Linked DNA regions of Elephas maximus indicus. The protein of the gene in region 1 interacts with the protein of each later gene in a pairwise test. Links are inferred from orthologs where the notes say so. Each region holds a gene or a part of one and is shown in the gene's direction. Other genes may lie near its edges. The genes, in order: CCND3, CRABP2 and VDR.

The links.
Region 2: the proteins of CCND3 (region 1) and CRABP2 interact in binary tests that used the Homo sapiens proteins (3 or more experiments, as listed by UniProt). The link is inferred for Elephas maximus indicus from reciprocal best matches to the Homo sapiens genes CCND3 and CRABP2.
Region 3: the proteins of CCND3 (region 1) and VDR interact in a two-hybrid assay, tested with the Homo sapiens proteins (2 studies listed by BioGRID and IntAct). The link is inferred for Elephas maximus indicus from reciprocal best matches to the Homo sapiens genes CCND3 and VDR.

What each region holds. Positions count from the first base shown.
Region 1 is NC_064819.1:106,379,345-106,383,684, reverse strand, and holds the start of CCND3 (G1/S-specific cyclin-D3), read left to right. Parts: upstream 1-1,440; 5' UTR 1,441-4,340. UniProt on the Homo sapiens protein: Regulatory component of the cyclin D3-CDK4 (DC) complex that phosphorylates and inhibits members of the retinoblastoma (RB) protein family including RB1 and regulates the cell-cycle during G(1)/S transition.
Region 2 is NC_064821.1:194,450,269-194,454,608, reverse strand, and holds the start of CRABP2 (cellular retinoic acid-binding protein 2), read left to right. Parts: upstream 1-1,023; 5' UTR 1,024-1,150; coding exon 1,151-1,220; intron 1,221-4,340. UniProt on the Homo sapiens protein: Transports retinoic acid to the nucleus. Regulates the access of retinoic acid to the nuclear retinoic acid receptors.
Region 3 is NC_064822.1:102,720,786-102,725,125, reverse strand, and holds the start of VDR (vitamin D3 receptor), read left to right. Parts: upstream 1-1,141; 5' UTR 1,142-1,325; intron 1,326-2,431; 5' UTR 2,432-2,525; intron 2,526-4,340.

The sequences.
Region 1 (4,340 bases):
TGCTGGAAGTTTCATGGAAGAGGTGGGTCATGAGCTAGGCCTTGAGGGAAGAGGCTGGATTTAGAGAAAGGAGCAGGATGCCAGTGGTGGGTGATAAGACCCTGAGGTAGGCTGGACTGCTGGAACTGAGATAAAATTGAATAGGCTGTCTGGGGCCTCTTGATGGAGAACTTTGAAAGCCAAGCTGGTTGACTTTTAAATTTGACCCGATAAGCAGGTCCTTGGACTGGAGATGAAAGGAGTGTCTGAGAGAGATTAATCTGATGGCTCTGGGCCATTGATCTAGATTGATCTGGAAAAAGGGTGAAGACTGGGCGGCTCTCTGGGAGGCTTTTGCAATAGTAATGTAGGCTGGCCTTTCAAACTAGGGTTTGAAAACCCCTAAAATTCCTTCTGCCAGTGTATACAATAAACATGGTTTGTGGAATTCAGTTTCCCTTTAGCTGTAAGTTATTTAAACCATTATTTTTACATTAAAATAATGGTGGCTATATTATGGATAAGAGCCTGAAACCTGTATAAGTTTCTAAGGCAGAATATTAGACTTCAAATAAATTTCAGGTTTGCAGAGGGTAATTTTAGATTATGCTACCGAATTTCTCAGAGAGATTCATTCCCCCTTCCCTGTTGTAAAGGGTTTACTTTGATGGCAAATTTTGAGACATTTGCTAAGAGCCATATGGAGGAATAGGAAAGATGGGATCTAAGTAAGTTTCAGGGAGTCATTTTTTGGGGCCAGGAAACTGATTAGATACAGGGAACCAGAGAAGGGAGAAATCCAAGATGGCACCAGGGTTTAAAATCTGAGAACTCTAAAGAAAGATGGAACGATTCATAAAAATGTACAAGCCTAGAAAGGGGTGGGATGGGAAGATGATAGCCTTGCTAGTCCCAGGAAAGGACTGGCCAGGTTGGTCAGGGAGGAACCAGCACCTCTTGGTCTTTCCCAGCCTTTGCCAATGTCCTGAAAGTTCTGTTCACTGGCCTGTCATGTTCGGATCTTTGCCTGGTTTACTTTCCATGTATCATCACTAAGATATTTGCCTTAGGATTTTAGTAGATGTCTTATATTAAAGAAGTTCCCTTCTCTCCGTACTTAGTGAAGAGTTTTTCTTATCCACAGATGTTGAGTTTTATCAAATGCTTTTCCTGTATCTGTTGTTGCGATCATGTCACTTTTTCCCCTTTAACCTGAATTATAAGTGGCTCTGGTGGCACAGTGGTTAAGTGCTCAGCTGATAACCAAAAGGTTGGCAGTTCAAATCCATTGACTGCTCTGTGGGAGAAAGATGTGGCAGCCTGCTTCCCTAAGGATTAACTGTCTTGGAAACCCTATGGGGCAGTTCTACTCTGTCCCGTAGGGTTGCTATGAGTTGGAATTGACTCTACAGCAATGGGTATGGGTAGTCTAAATTATATATATATATATATATATATTTTTTTTTTTTTAAATAATGCACTCCAAGACATGTGTTCTTCATTGTCTCCCAGAGTTCCGCAGCAGGATTGAGCTCCAGTTGCCCACATGGTAACTTACTTAATGACGCACTCTCTACTGGCTTTCCTTCCCTTCCTGTCTCATATCTTCACTCCCCTTCCAGTGCTTTCTGGAATTACCTCCCAAGTAAACTACTTCACTGGAGTCCTTGTATCAGGGTCTATGTTGGGGCAGCCCAAACTCAGACAGAGCCATTTACTAACTATGGCTTTTGATGAGATACCTAATCTGTTCATGTCTCTCTTTTCTCATCTGTAATATGAGGGTAAAATAGCACCTATACCTCATAGAGTTTTTGTGAGGCTTAAATAAGTAAATGTGGTAAAGTTCTCAATGTCTGGCTCAGAGAAAGCACTAAGCAAGTGTAACTTATTACTGTTACTACTTGAAATTCTCTGGTGTACTACCATGGGGAGTTGTACCATAGTTGGGGCACACCACTCCAGACCCCACTGTCTAAGCTTTTCGGGATGCTCCCTTTCTGCCTCTTGCTCCCTATGCCCCAGTTACTCTCTGAGTTCCTACAGTCCCACTTCTTCCATCATGGGCTGCCTCCTGGACTTCAGGTGACCAGGACCACCAACTCCCACCACTCCCAGTGTAGCCATCGTTTCCATCCCATAAAAACCAGCTCCCCTAACCCTGGTGGGTGCTGGGAAGTCCCAGGCAAAAAATTTGGTGTCTTTTTTTTTCATTACTTCATTCCTTTTTTTGCCCAGTACTACTCTACACTGGGTTTGGGTTTTTACTCTACTCTATGGATATACCACATTGTGTTTATCCATTTATCAGTTGATGGACACTGGGGTTGTTTCTACTTTGTGACTGTTATGCATAATGCTGTTAATGAATATTCATGTGCAAGTTTTTGGCTGGCTATATGTTTTTATTTCTCTTAGATAATTTCCTAAGAGTTTAATTGCTGGGTCTTATGTTAACTCTAAGTTCCATTGTTTGAGGAACTGCCAGACTGTTTTCCAAAGGGGATGTACCATTTTATATTCCCAGCATCAGTGACATTTGTTATTGTCTGTCTTTTTTATTATAGTTATCCTAGTGGGTGTGAAATGGTATCTCATTGTGGTTTTGATTTACACTTTTTTTTTTAATGACTAATAATGTTGAGCATCTTTTCATGTGAGTAAAACTTAATGTCTTAGTGACAATTACAGGATTTCTCCGTGTTCAGGCTCATCATAGTCATCCACTTTAGACTGGCAGCTCTTAACAGGGAGGCTTTGGGTCTCTGCTCCGAAGCCCAGGGCAAGGACAGCACCTGATACATATGAACTATTAATGGTCACCGCTCCCTTTTCTGAGCATTGTTATGGGCCTAGTGCTATTGTAGGTCCCTGGATGGCACAAACGGTTTGCATGTGACTACTAACGGAAAGGTTGATGGTTGGAACCCATCCATTGGTGCCACAGAAGAAAGGCCTGGCAGTCTGCTTCAGTAAAGATTATAGCCAGGAAAACCCTGTGTAGTTCAGTTCTACTCTGTAACACACGTGGTTGGCATGAGTTGGAATCGACTCGGCGGCAGTGGATTTGGTTTTTGGTTTAGTGCTATTGTGGGTGCTTTTGCCATATTAATCCTCGCAACCACTCTGTGAAGTAGGTGCTGTTACTATCCCTATTTTGCAGATGAGCAGCCTGGGACACAGAGAACTTGAGTCACTGGCTCAAGAACACACAGCTGGCAAATGGGAGAGCTGGGCATCAACCCAACTCCAGAGCTCACTTATTTAGCCACTGTGCTGAAACGATGCCAGGGCTTTTTCATCCCTAGAGTGAGAGATCCTTGCTTCCCAGCTAAGAGCCCAAAGAGGATTTCTCTTTTGCCAGGTGTTTTGCTCAAGAAGGTTACCCATCTACTACACCTGAGGCCCAGATACTTACCTCACCTTTAGCTGTGGACCAGGAGTCTCAGACAGAATAAGAGAACAGGAAAGCCTCACTTATTCAGAATCCAACCAGAAAAAGGGAGAAAAAGTAAACATGTAAATATATAGGTTGTGTGTTCTAATTTTATGAGGAGAGAGTTGGCAGGTTTAGAAGCCAGTACCTGAGGTTTCTTTTCATAAGCGACTTACGAGCTAGAGATTGCAAAATACTCCCCACAGGTCAGATCCAGCCCATGGAACATTGTGTGTGGCTTGTGCAGAGCTTGTTTGTTTTAACTGAAGTAATGGAGATGTTATATTTTAAGAAATATTTTCTCTGGGAAACAAGGGGAATAGAGGGCAACACTTAGGACAGCCACAGGCTGAGCGAGCAGCCCCTCCTGGCTTTGACTGGAGCATCTACTGTCCAGTGTGCCCAGCCCCCCACGTCTCCCACTGACCCCCGTACCGTACCAGAATGGCCATTTATCATGTGACTTGTGCTGAGTTTTTTTTCTTGTTCCAGTCATCCATTGATTCATTCAAAAAAGATTTGTTGAACACCTTCTATGAACCAGGCACCATTCTGGTGATATGGCAGAAGGAAAAAACCCTTACCCTCCAGGAGCTTCTGTTGTGGTGGTGGTGGTGGTGGTGGGAGGGACGAACGATAAACAGAATATGTAAGTAAAGTATATAGTGTGTTAATTATTCATGGTAAGCAGAAAAATAAAAGGACATAGCAAATGCGGGGTTGGGGGAGCAGGAGCATTAAAAATGTAGACAGGGTGGCCAGAAAAGACTATAGGAGGAATGCAACTTTTAAGTTAAAACCTGAAAGAAATGAGGGAGTGGGCCATGTGGATATCTGGGGGAAGAACATTCCAGGCAGATGGTACAGCAGATGACAAAGGGAACATGTATGCCCGGTATGTTCCAGAAACAGCAAGGAGGCCAGT
Region 2 (4,340 bases), on another chromosome or scaffold:
AGAGCTGCTTATTCCGCCCATTTTACGGCTCAGGACACCTGAGACCCTGCCCCGCCCCCTCTCTGGGCACTAGGTGGTAGCGCGGCGCGCCGGGCTCCTCGCCTTTGTCTCCACCTCCAGTCGCCGTCGCCTACCGCGACTCCCTCGGGGGTCTGGCAAGCGAAGCCACGCGGAAAGCGCCTTAATAAAGAGCTCGTGTCAAGTGATTGGCTGTGACCTCTGCCCTCCTCAGCCTTGCGCCCCGGGCTCCTGCTTAACCCTTCGATGTCCGGTCAGCGCGTTAAGAGGAATGAGTCACCCTGCTCGGATTTCCAGAGTCCGCAGGCGCAACCCCAGGCCGAACCCGTGTGCGGTTAGGGGAGGAAAGGGGTGAGAGAAAGCGTGCAGCCCCCTCGCAGCCCTTCGAGCCGTTCCAGCAGGGGGCGCCGTTGCCTCACCGGGTGCCTAACCCCGGAGCCCCAACGCTCCCCAGTCGGTCTCCGAATTAGGAGCTGACCCTTCGGACCCAGTTCAGGCTTCGGTGGAGCCGAAGTTCGACTGCTCATTCCCTTCCCCAGAGCCGGCATGAGGACCAGGGTTTTGCCCGCTCCCCGGCTGGTGGGGTCACTGGGTGCTCGGCGCCAACAAGTCGAGTGCACCGAGTCAGATTGGGGAAGGGTAGGGAACAGGCAAGACGTGTCCCTGTGGCCTGGGCTGCTGGACTTGGGACCCGGGAGCAAATGCCCCGATCCCGGCGCCTCCTCCACTCGGGCAATCGAAGTGCTCCCCCTGCCTCCACTTCCCTCCCTATTCACCCATTAGCGATGGAGCAAGCTATCTCGGCCCTTAGCGTGCCCTGGGTCCATCCAGGGGGCTAGATCCAGAAGGCAGGAGACTGAGGGTAATGCAGGGCCCGGGCTGAGGGCCCCCCGGGGGGGTGGGGTCGGGATGGGAGGCGGGGCCACCTCATTCCTGGGCAGGGGCGGGCCCCGTGCGGGGTATAAAAGCTGCCCGCGCGGGCGCCCGGGTCGGCTTTGGAGTTGTCCTGGGTCGTATCCAACTTGAGAGTCTCGCCATCCTGCGAAGGCGGCAACATCTATCTCTACTAGAGGACTGAGCATTCAGGGCTCCGGCCGAAGGACCTCGAGGGACCACCATTCGCCCCACCACCATGCCCAACTTCTCCGGCAACTGGAAGATCATTCGGTCGGAAAATTTCGAGGATTTACTCAAAGCGCTGGGTAAGGTTTCCGAACGCCGGGGAGGGGCAAGAGAGGCTCCAGAGTCCTCAGAGGTGGGATGAGAAAGAAAGAGGGATCAGATCAGGAGAGAGTGGGAGGCTGGGCGCCTGCATCCCCAAGAAAAGGGGCTGGACGCCTGGGTTCGGGGACACTGGGCCCCGATGCCTAAATCCTGCTTTTACCGGCGGGGAGTCCACCCGTGCCAGCTCCTGCGGTGACTCAGAGCTTGTGAATCAAGCAGAAACCAGAAGCACGAAGTCGGTTTCCCTGTAAGGTGAGGGGGCTAGCCTCTGGCGCCTTGGCCGGGCTGACCAGGAACACCTGGCTCTCAGAAGTTCAGAAGCTGCCACTGGGAGAGCCGCAAACCCTGCATCCAGGGTGAGAGCCTGGGTCTCTACCTACCTGAGCCCCTCAGAGACATTCTAGCCTGCTTCCCGGCATCCCGCTCCCCTCCTCCTACCCCAGTCCCAGCCAGGCACAGGTTCATTACCTCTCTGCACCCACCAAGTGATCCTGGCCCTAGCCCTAGATCCCCCTACATCCTTCCGCTCTTTCCACTTTGCCTACTCTCCCCACCTCCCACCCCCCACTCTGTGAGACAAATATTTTCTTGCAGGAGCAACCCCAGAGTCCCGAAGTCTCTCTGGATAATTATCACTTTCTTGGGTTTCAGCAAATGGCTTCGTGTAAAACCCCAACCCCCCCATTTCTGAAAATCCCAGTTTCCTCCTTTCTTTATCCCCAGAAACTAAGCTCCTGCCCAGCTGGGTACATTAGTCTGAAGGTAATAGAAGCTGAACCAGGGCTTCGAACCAGTTCCTTCTGGTTCAACTCCCTGCTGAGAATTTGAATTTCTACCCAGAGATTCTGATTCAGCATATCTGTGTGGGAAATTGAGCTGAACCATCCTAGACTGCCCTTCCAGCCTTCCAGACTTCTGGGGGTGGCAGGCTGGCTGAAGGATCTGGGGAGAGGGAGAAAGAACCAGGGTTCCATGACTGGAGAGATTGGTCTGGGAGGAGATGACGGTTGAACTATATTCAAGACACCCAGCAACTGGGAGGAGGGCCTGGGAGCCCTGGAACCTAAGGGTCACCCAGGGACCTTCCCATGGCTTTAATTTCTGGACTGGACAGAGAGACCCTGGTTGGGCCGGAGGGGCACCCTACGTGGGGCAGGGAGCTGGAGAAGCTTGTCTGGATGGAGGAAGGGTCTGGAAACGCTGTGGGTAGAGCTGTGATTTCCATTGTTCCTTGACACTGAGTTCTCCCTGCCATCAAACCATAATACATATTGCAGTCACGTCAGCCCTTGCTCTGCCTATTCTGAAATTAAAGACAAAAGGATAGAAATTTTCCCTTCAGAAAACCTAGATGCCACTCCCTCGTCCCCCATCTTCTCTGGATTCTGGCCCCTGTCCGCAGTGAATGAGGGTGTGGCCTGGCACACCCCCAGACCCCAGCTGGAGAGTAAGATTCAAAGCCTAACCCTGTTGTCTGTCTTCAGTCTGTTCGCCTCCCTGCAGGGTCCCTCGGAGCCACGTGCCCTCCTCAGGCCCTGCTCAGGGAGCAGATTGAAAACAGCCCTGTTAGACAAACACAGTCCTGAGTCAGCCAAGGCCAGCCGAGCCAGCCCCCCCGCCCCCCCCCCCCCCGCCATTCTACAGGCACCAGGGGCTGGCTGGAGGGATGTCCCCTCTGACTGCAGCCTCGCCTTCACAGGAATCTCAGTCTCCTCATTCCCATTTGTCCCATTGGAGGACCCCTCTCCTGACGAGGGATGCTCAGATATTTGGGGGATACCTGTCTCATCCAGTGTGGTGCTCATGGCACACACTGCTACTATAATAGGGAAGATGGATGTTAGATAGGAGGATGGACTTCACAGGCAGCAGAGAGTGAAGCAGTTCCTTTGCCCAAGAAGATGGAGTGGGGTATGTCTCCTTTACCAAGTCAGTGGGGCCTGGGCACCTGAGCAAGTTCTCCCTGGCCCCAAGAGATCAGTAGCCAAGAAGTGGAGTTCCTAGGTCTCCTGAGAGTCAGGGCTCCCCGTCCCTCTCCCTTGTGTCTGAAATATTTTTCACCCTGGGAGGACCAGGTGGGGGCCTAGCCAGGGCCAGGGGATCTGAGCCAGATCAGGAGCAGAGGAACCCCACTTGCCTGGCCCAGCCCAGCTTGGCCGTTTTCTCCCTACCTGTTGCTTCCCTGGAGGGTTCTGCTCCAGTTCAGGGCAGGAGGCCAGGCAAGGCGGGGGTGTGGAGCTTGGGCCTGGGCCTGGGCCAGAAGTGCTTCCCTACCTTCTGGTCTTCCAGCCACAGGGGCTGTCTCCTGTCTCCCACACCCATCCTAATAACTAGGGAACAGAGAAAAGGGGTCCAATCTGGGGGAGGGCATAGGGGGCACAGGGGCTCGGAGCCCACAGAGGGGGCCCACCTGAGGTGTAAGGTGGGAGGCAGTGTCCCTTTCTGTCCTTTCTTTGGGGCAGGAGGGGGTTCCCTTAAGAAGAGAAAGGCATGGGAGCCCTCCAGGAGCGCAGGTGAGCAGGAGTCTGATGCAGGGAGCTTTGAGCCCTAGCTTTGGCTTTCTCTTTGCCTTCCGTTTTGTCAGTAAAAATGATAGCAACAATAACAAGAAAGAGCCACTGTTCCTCAAGATCCTAAAGGTGTACCTGGCACATATGTGCTAGGTCCTAAACACACACCATCTCATTTGATAGGCATTTGAAAAAGGCTATTGTTTCATTTTTCAGTTGAAGAAACTAAGGCTCAGAGAGGTTAAACCATTTGCCCAGGGAGACCCAGCTGGTAAGGGGGCTGAGCCAGGAGGAAATCACAGTCTAATGGCTCTGACTCCAGAGAGTCTGGCTTCCCAGGCTGCTGGCCAGTCTATAGAGGCAAACAACTGCTCCATATCTTCACGTGCTGAGAATTTCTGCTCAACTACTAATCTAAAGATTGGCGGTTTGAATCCACCCAGTGATGCTGTAGAAGAAAGAAAGCTCTGGCAATCTGCTTCCATAAAGATTACAGCCAAGAAAACTAAGGAGCAGTTCTGCTCTGTGACACATGCGGTCACCATGAGTTGGGATTGACTCTGTGGCAATGGGTTTGGTTTTAGTTTT
Region 3 (4,340 bases), on another chromosome or scaffold:
CGTTTCCCCTTCCTTCCACTAGACAGTGAGCTCTAAGACTGAAGGAACCACGTCCTTTCCACACTTCTCTCCTCTGCACCTAGAGCAATGCCTAGCATATAGTCAGAGAAGCAGAGCAGAGGGTAAATTGTAAGGTCAAAAATTACAAAAAAAAGAAAAACTTTTTAAAATCAAAATCTTGTATGCCAATTTTCTCTCCAAGCTCAAAAACCCATTGTCATCGAGTGTTTCCAACTCTTAGCGACCCTGTAGGACAGAGTAGAACTGCCCCATAGGGTTTTCAAGGAGAGCCTGGTAGCTTTGAACGGCACATCTTTTTGGTTAGCAGCCTGAGCTCTTAAGCACTGCGCCACTAGGCCTTCTAATTTTCCCGCAGCCACAGGTCTGAGGATGTACTCTTCACCTCCTCCCTCCGCTTCACACTAATGTCGCGGTGGGAAGGGGGCACCGGGGACCAGGGACCGAGGAAGCTGAGATTAAGCCCGCGTGGAGGAGATCCGCAAGGGGCCAGGAACGTGGTTCCCGTGGAACATGGGATGGGGTGACGATGCAACTCCGGGCTCCACTTTGGCCCGGTTCGCTCTTTGATTCCAGTGTGCGGAGTCGGATCCAGCTCCCTGGCGCCCGGCGAAAGTAGCTCGGCGGCGAGCGGCACCCTGGACTTCCCACGAGTGCAGAGAGAGCAGTAGGAGCCCGTCAGCAGGCGCCCCCCAGCGTCTCACGGAGGACAACGACTTCCCGGCCAGGTCAGCCCAGGTGTGTCTGCAGCGGGGGACGCACCTGGAGGAGGCGTCCGTGACAGGACGGGCAGAACCAAAGCAGGGGGTGAGGAGATGTGTGCGATGTATCCCAGATTGTCGAAGGCATGAGCGTGGACCTACGCATTCACAACTGCCAAAATCATCTCCCAGGCACAGAGGACGGAAGCATGCCTAGCCCTGGGACAGCAGGCATGGAGGGCTACAGGACAGCAGAATCTCCAAGGCGACAGTGCAGTGGTTGAGTCCAAGTCAAGATGGTTGCAGCGCAGATGCAGCTCTCGGCTAGAGAGGACTGGACCGGCGGGCGGGGCCAAGGACCAGGCCTGGCCCGGGGGCGGGGCCTGCGCGATGGGCGGGGCCAGGTGCTGGGCTGGCTCTGCTTGTCAAAAGGCAGCCACCGAACCCGAGGTGCGGCGATCGCTGAGCAGCGTGTCCACCCGCGGGACCAGGTGCGGACCCGGGAGCAGCGTGGAAGGGGGTCCCAGAATAGAGATTAGGCCCTGGGACGGGACGTCGGGAGTACCGGAGCCTGAGTGCCCGAGCGCAAGCCCTCGAGTCTAAGTCGTAAGTCTAAGTAGGGGCCACTTTGGAGACTGAGAGCCGGGCTGTGATGCCATGAGACTGAGACACTGAGGGGCGTTGAAGGCTAAGAAGGAGCTGACTGAAGTTCATGCCGAGCTGGCGAGGGCAGCGGGGACCTCCTCGGTGCCCCGGTGCTCTGGCAGATGAACGCAGAATGCCTCGCTAGCACAGTGCTCAGCACTTGGGCAACAAGAAACATTTGTTTCTTTCCTCTGCCCGGGTGCCTTGGCGTGGAGTGAAGGAACAAGAAAGGGAGAGACTGGCTGTCGATGGTGCGAAGGACTTCTGGGGGTGGAGTGTGTCGACTTATTTATTCTCTCGTTGGGCCCACTTACGGTCACCTGTGGCTGTGGGGTTGGGTCTTTTAAGTAGGGCTTTTTTTTTTTTTTTTCCATTTCGTTTCCTGACTTTTTATTTGTAAACCACTAATGATTTCAGACCTAATTAGCCCTAGGGCACTGGATTTATTGTTTCAGGAGAGCTTGCCCATAGGTGAGTGAGTGACACTCAAGGGCCAGCATTAATAGAGGAGGGAACTCAGGGAGTAGTTTCTGCTTAAAGGAGGTGAGGGGTCCCACATCTGTGGGTGGTAGGTGAGGAGCATCCAGGGGGAACTATCTTCTAGAGAGCAGCCTGTGGTCTCCAGGGGCAGTGACCATCGCCCCCCCGCCCCAGACCACTGAGGCTGAGACCCAGCTGCCTGGGCTAGGGGAGCCCTGGGTCTCTGAGCCCAAGCTCTTCCTGTACCTCCTCCTCCTTCTCCTCCTCTTCCTCCTCCTCTGTGTGGTGAGTGAGTCAGCCTCCTGTCTGGGCTCAGTTGCAGCCAGAGGGGCCAGAGCCCAGGCAAGCAGTTGGGCAGGCATTTTCTGAGCATTGCAGAAGCTCTCCTGGGCAGAGTTCAGCTCTGCTCCAGCTCCCTGCTGGAAAGCTATTATCCTCATGGCTGGTGTTGGCTGCTATTGAAGGGGTCAGGGGTTCAGACACCCAACACAGCAATGACGATGGGATGTTCTGATTCCAGAAAGAGTTGGTTGTGAAGGGATTGTGACTTTGAGGCAAATCCACAGTTTTTTTTTTCATTCTCCCAGGATCAGGAGGTGCATCCCAGCATTGCAGACTTGTCCAGACTGTCATTCCATTTCTGCCTAGTGACCTTGTTAGTTGCTCATCCCTGCTGGTGAGGTAGGTATACAGGGGGAATTGGGAAGGTTCTGGGACTAGGGAAAGCAAGGTGTTGACAAAGGTTTTAACTCAGGCTAGGGACTGGGAGTGGTTTGGTGAGGTGGAGTTGGGTTAACTGGACATTGGAGCCTCAACTCTACAAACTGAGAGTGTTGTGTTTTTGGGGATCTGCCCCAGCCCTTCCATGTCCAAGTGCTGGAGGAGATGGTGGATCTTTCTGGAATAGGGTTTGGACTGGCATACAGCCAAAGTAGGAGGTAGTAAGACTGTAAATTTCTCTCTGGCTTTTGTTTTGGGTGTTAGAGATCCTTGGGCAGAAATAGGGGCCCCAGGGTCCATTGCCCCCATTCAGTGGGCTCTCTGGACCCGTTGGAGAAGGATCATGGAGGCCAACCAGCCTGTGGGCTGACTCAAACTGCAAAAAAAAAAAAAAAAAAAAAACGCTGGGGAATTCACAGTCTGTGCTCTGGCTGGGGCCCATGGCTTAAGGTTTGGCTGGTCTCTGATCAGCCATGAGTTGGACTCTAACCAAGTTAAAAGAAGGATTGGAGAGTGGGGTAAGAAAAAAGGAAAGAGAGGGTGTTAGGAAGCTCTCCTGATCCCTCACTTCTTTTCAGCCAAGACTATTACAATTTATTGGTATAAATATTGTGGAAGGTCTGGGTGCTGTTTGGGATGCCCTGATTATTTGTGTTTATGGTTTCTCAGTCTTCTTCCCCTGTTCTGCCTTAGAATTGATCTTCTTTTGGACTAAGTCTCAGAGGACACTCTAAGAGGACCTTCTGGATTCCCCCACACTCCTGAACAAATAGCCAGAGTCCAAAACCAATGTCCTGAGCCAGTGTGCTCCATGCTTAGGGGATGGCCTAGGTCCAGTGGGCCAGAGCCAAGTGTTTACCTAAGACAAGAAAGAGAGTTCCAGTTGTTCACTTCTTTACCCCATATCCTAAGGAGGCAGCGACCAGCCTGGCTGAGATCTGCTTCTGCTGGAAACCCTCCTGTTGTCAACTGTTCAGCAGTTATGTGCTAGTGGTTGGAGAGGCAGAGACAGGAAGACCTGGAAGTCTGAGCTAGGATGACTTTCCAGTTTGTGTTTCCCTCTTCTTTACTGGACAGGGAGAAGTATAGGATTCCAACTTTCCATTTGTCACTGCGGCAAGTCTGTTTTGGGAACAGGTAGAGGAAAGAAAGGAAATGACAAGATTTTATTAAGTGCCTCCTGTGTACCCAGCATGGTGCTAGGCCATCTGAAGGATGGCAGGAAGCAGAACCCACCAGACCAAGACGGTCTGAGCCCCAGAATGGGTAGGAGCTGTCTGGCTTTCCCTCCACCACTGTCCAGTTCTGAGAGGATCCACCTGGACTGAAGCCAGCCTGAGTGTTGCTCTGAACCACAAGGGCCTCTCTTCTAGTTATGCTTCCCCCGATTTCCCATTAACCCTCTTCCATGCCAGTGCCCTCCTGGGTGCGGTAGAGAGAGTGACCATGTAGTTTATCATTCAAATGAGGATACTTTTGAGAGTGAAAGGGGTGCTATTTATATGTATGCCAGGACAAAAGACAAACTGAAACTGTCTGGAGCAAATGCGAATATTTAGTCATTCTAGTGATAGAGGGAAGAAGCCCTGGTTGTGCAACAGTTAGGCGCTCGGCAGTTTGAACCTACCCAGTGGCTCTGTGGGAAAAAGAGCTAGCAATCTGCTCCTGTAAAGATTCCAGCCTAGAAAACTCAATGGGGCAGTAAAACTGTCATACGGGGTCACTATGAGTTGAAATCAACTCAACACCACCTAACAACAACAGTGATAGAGGATC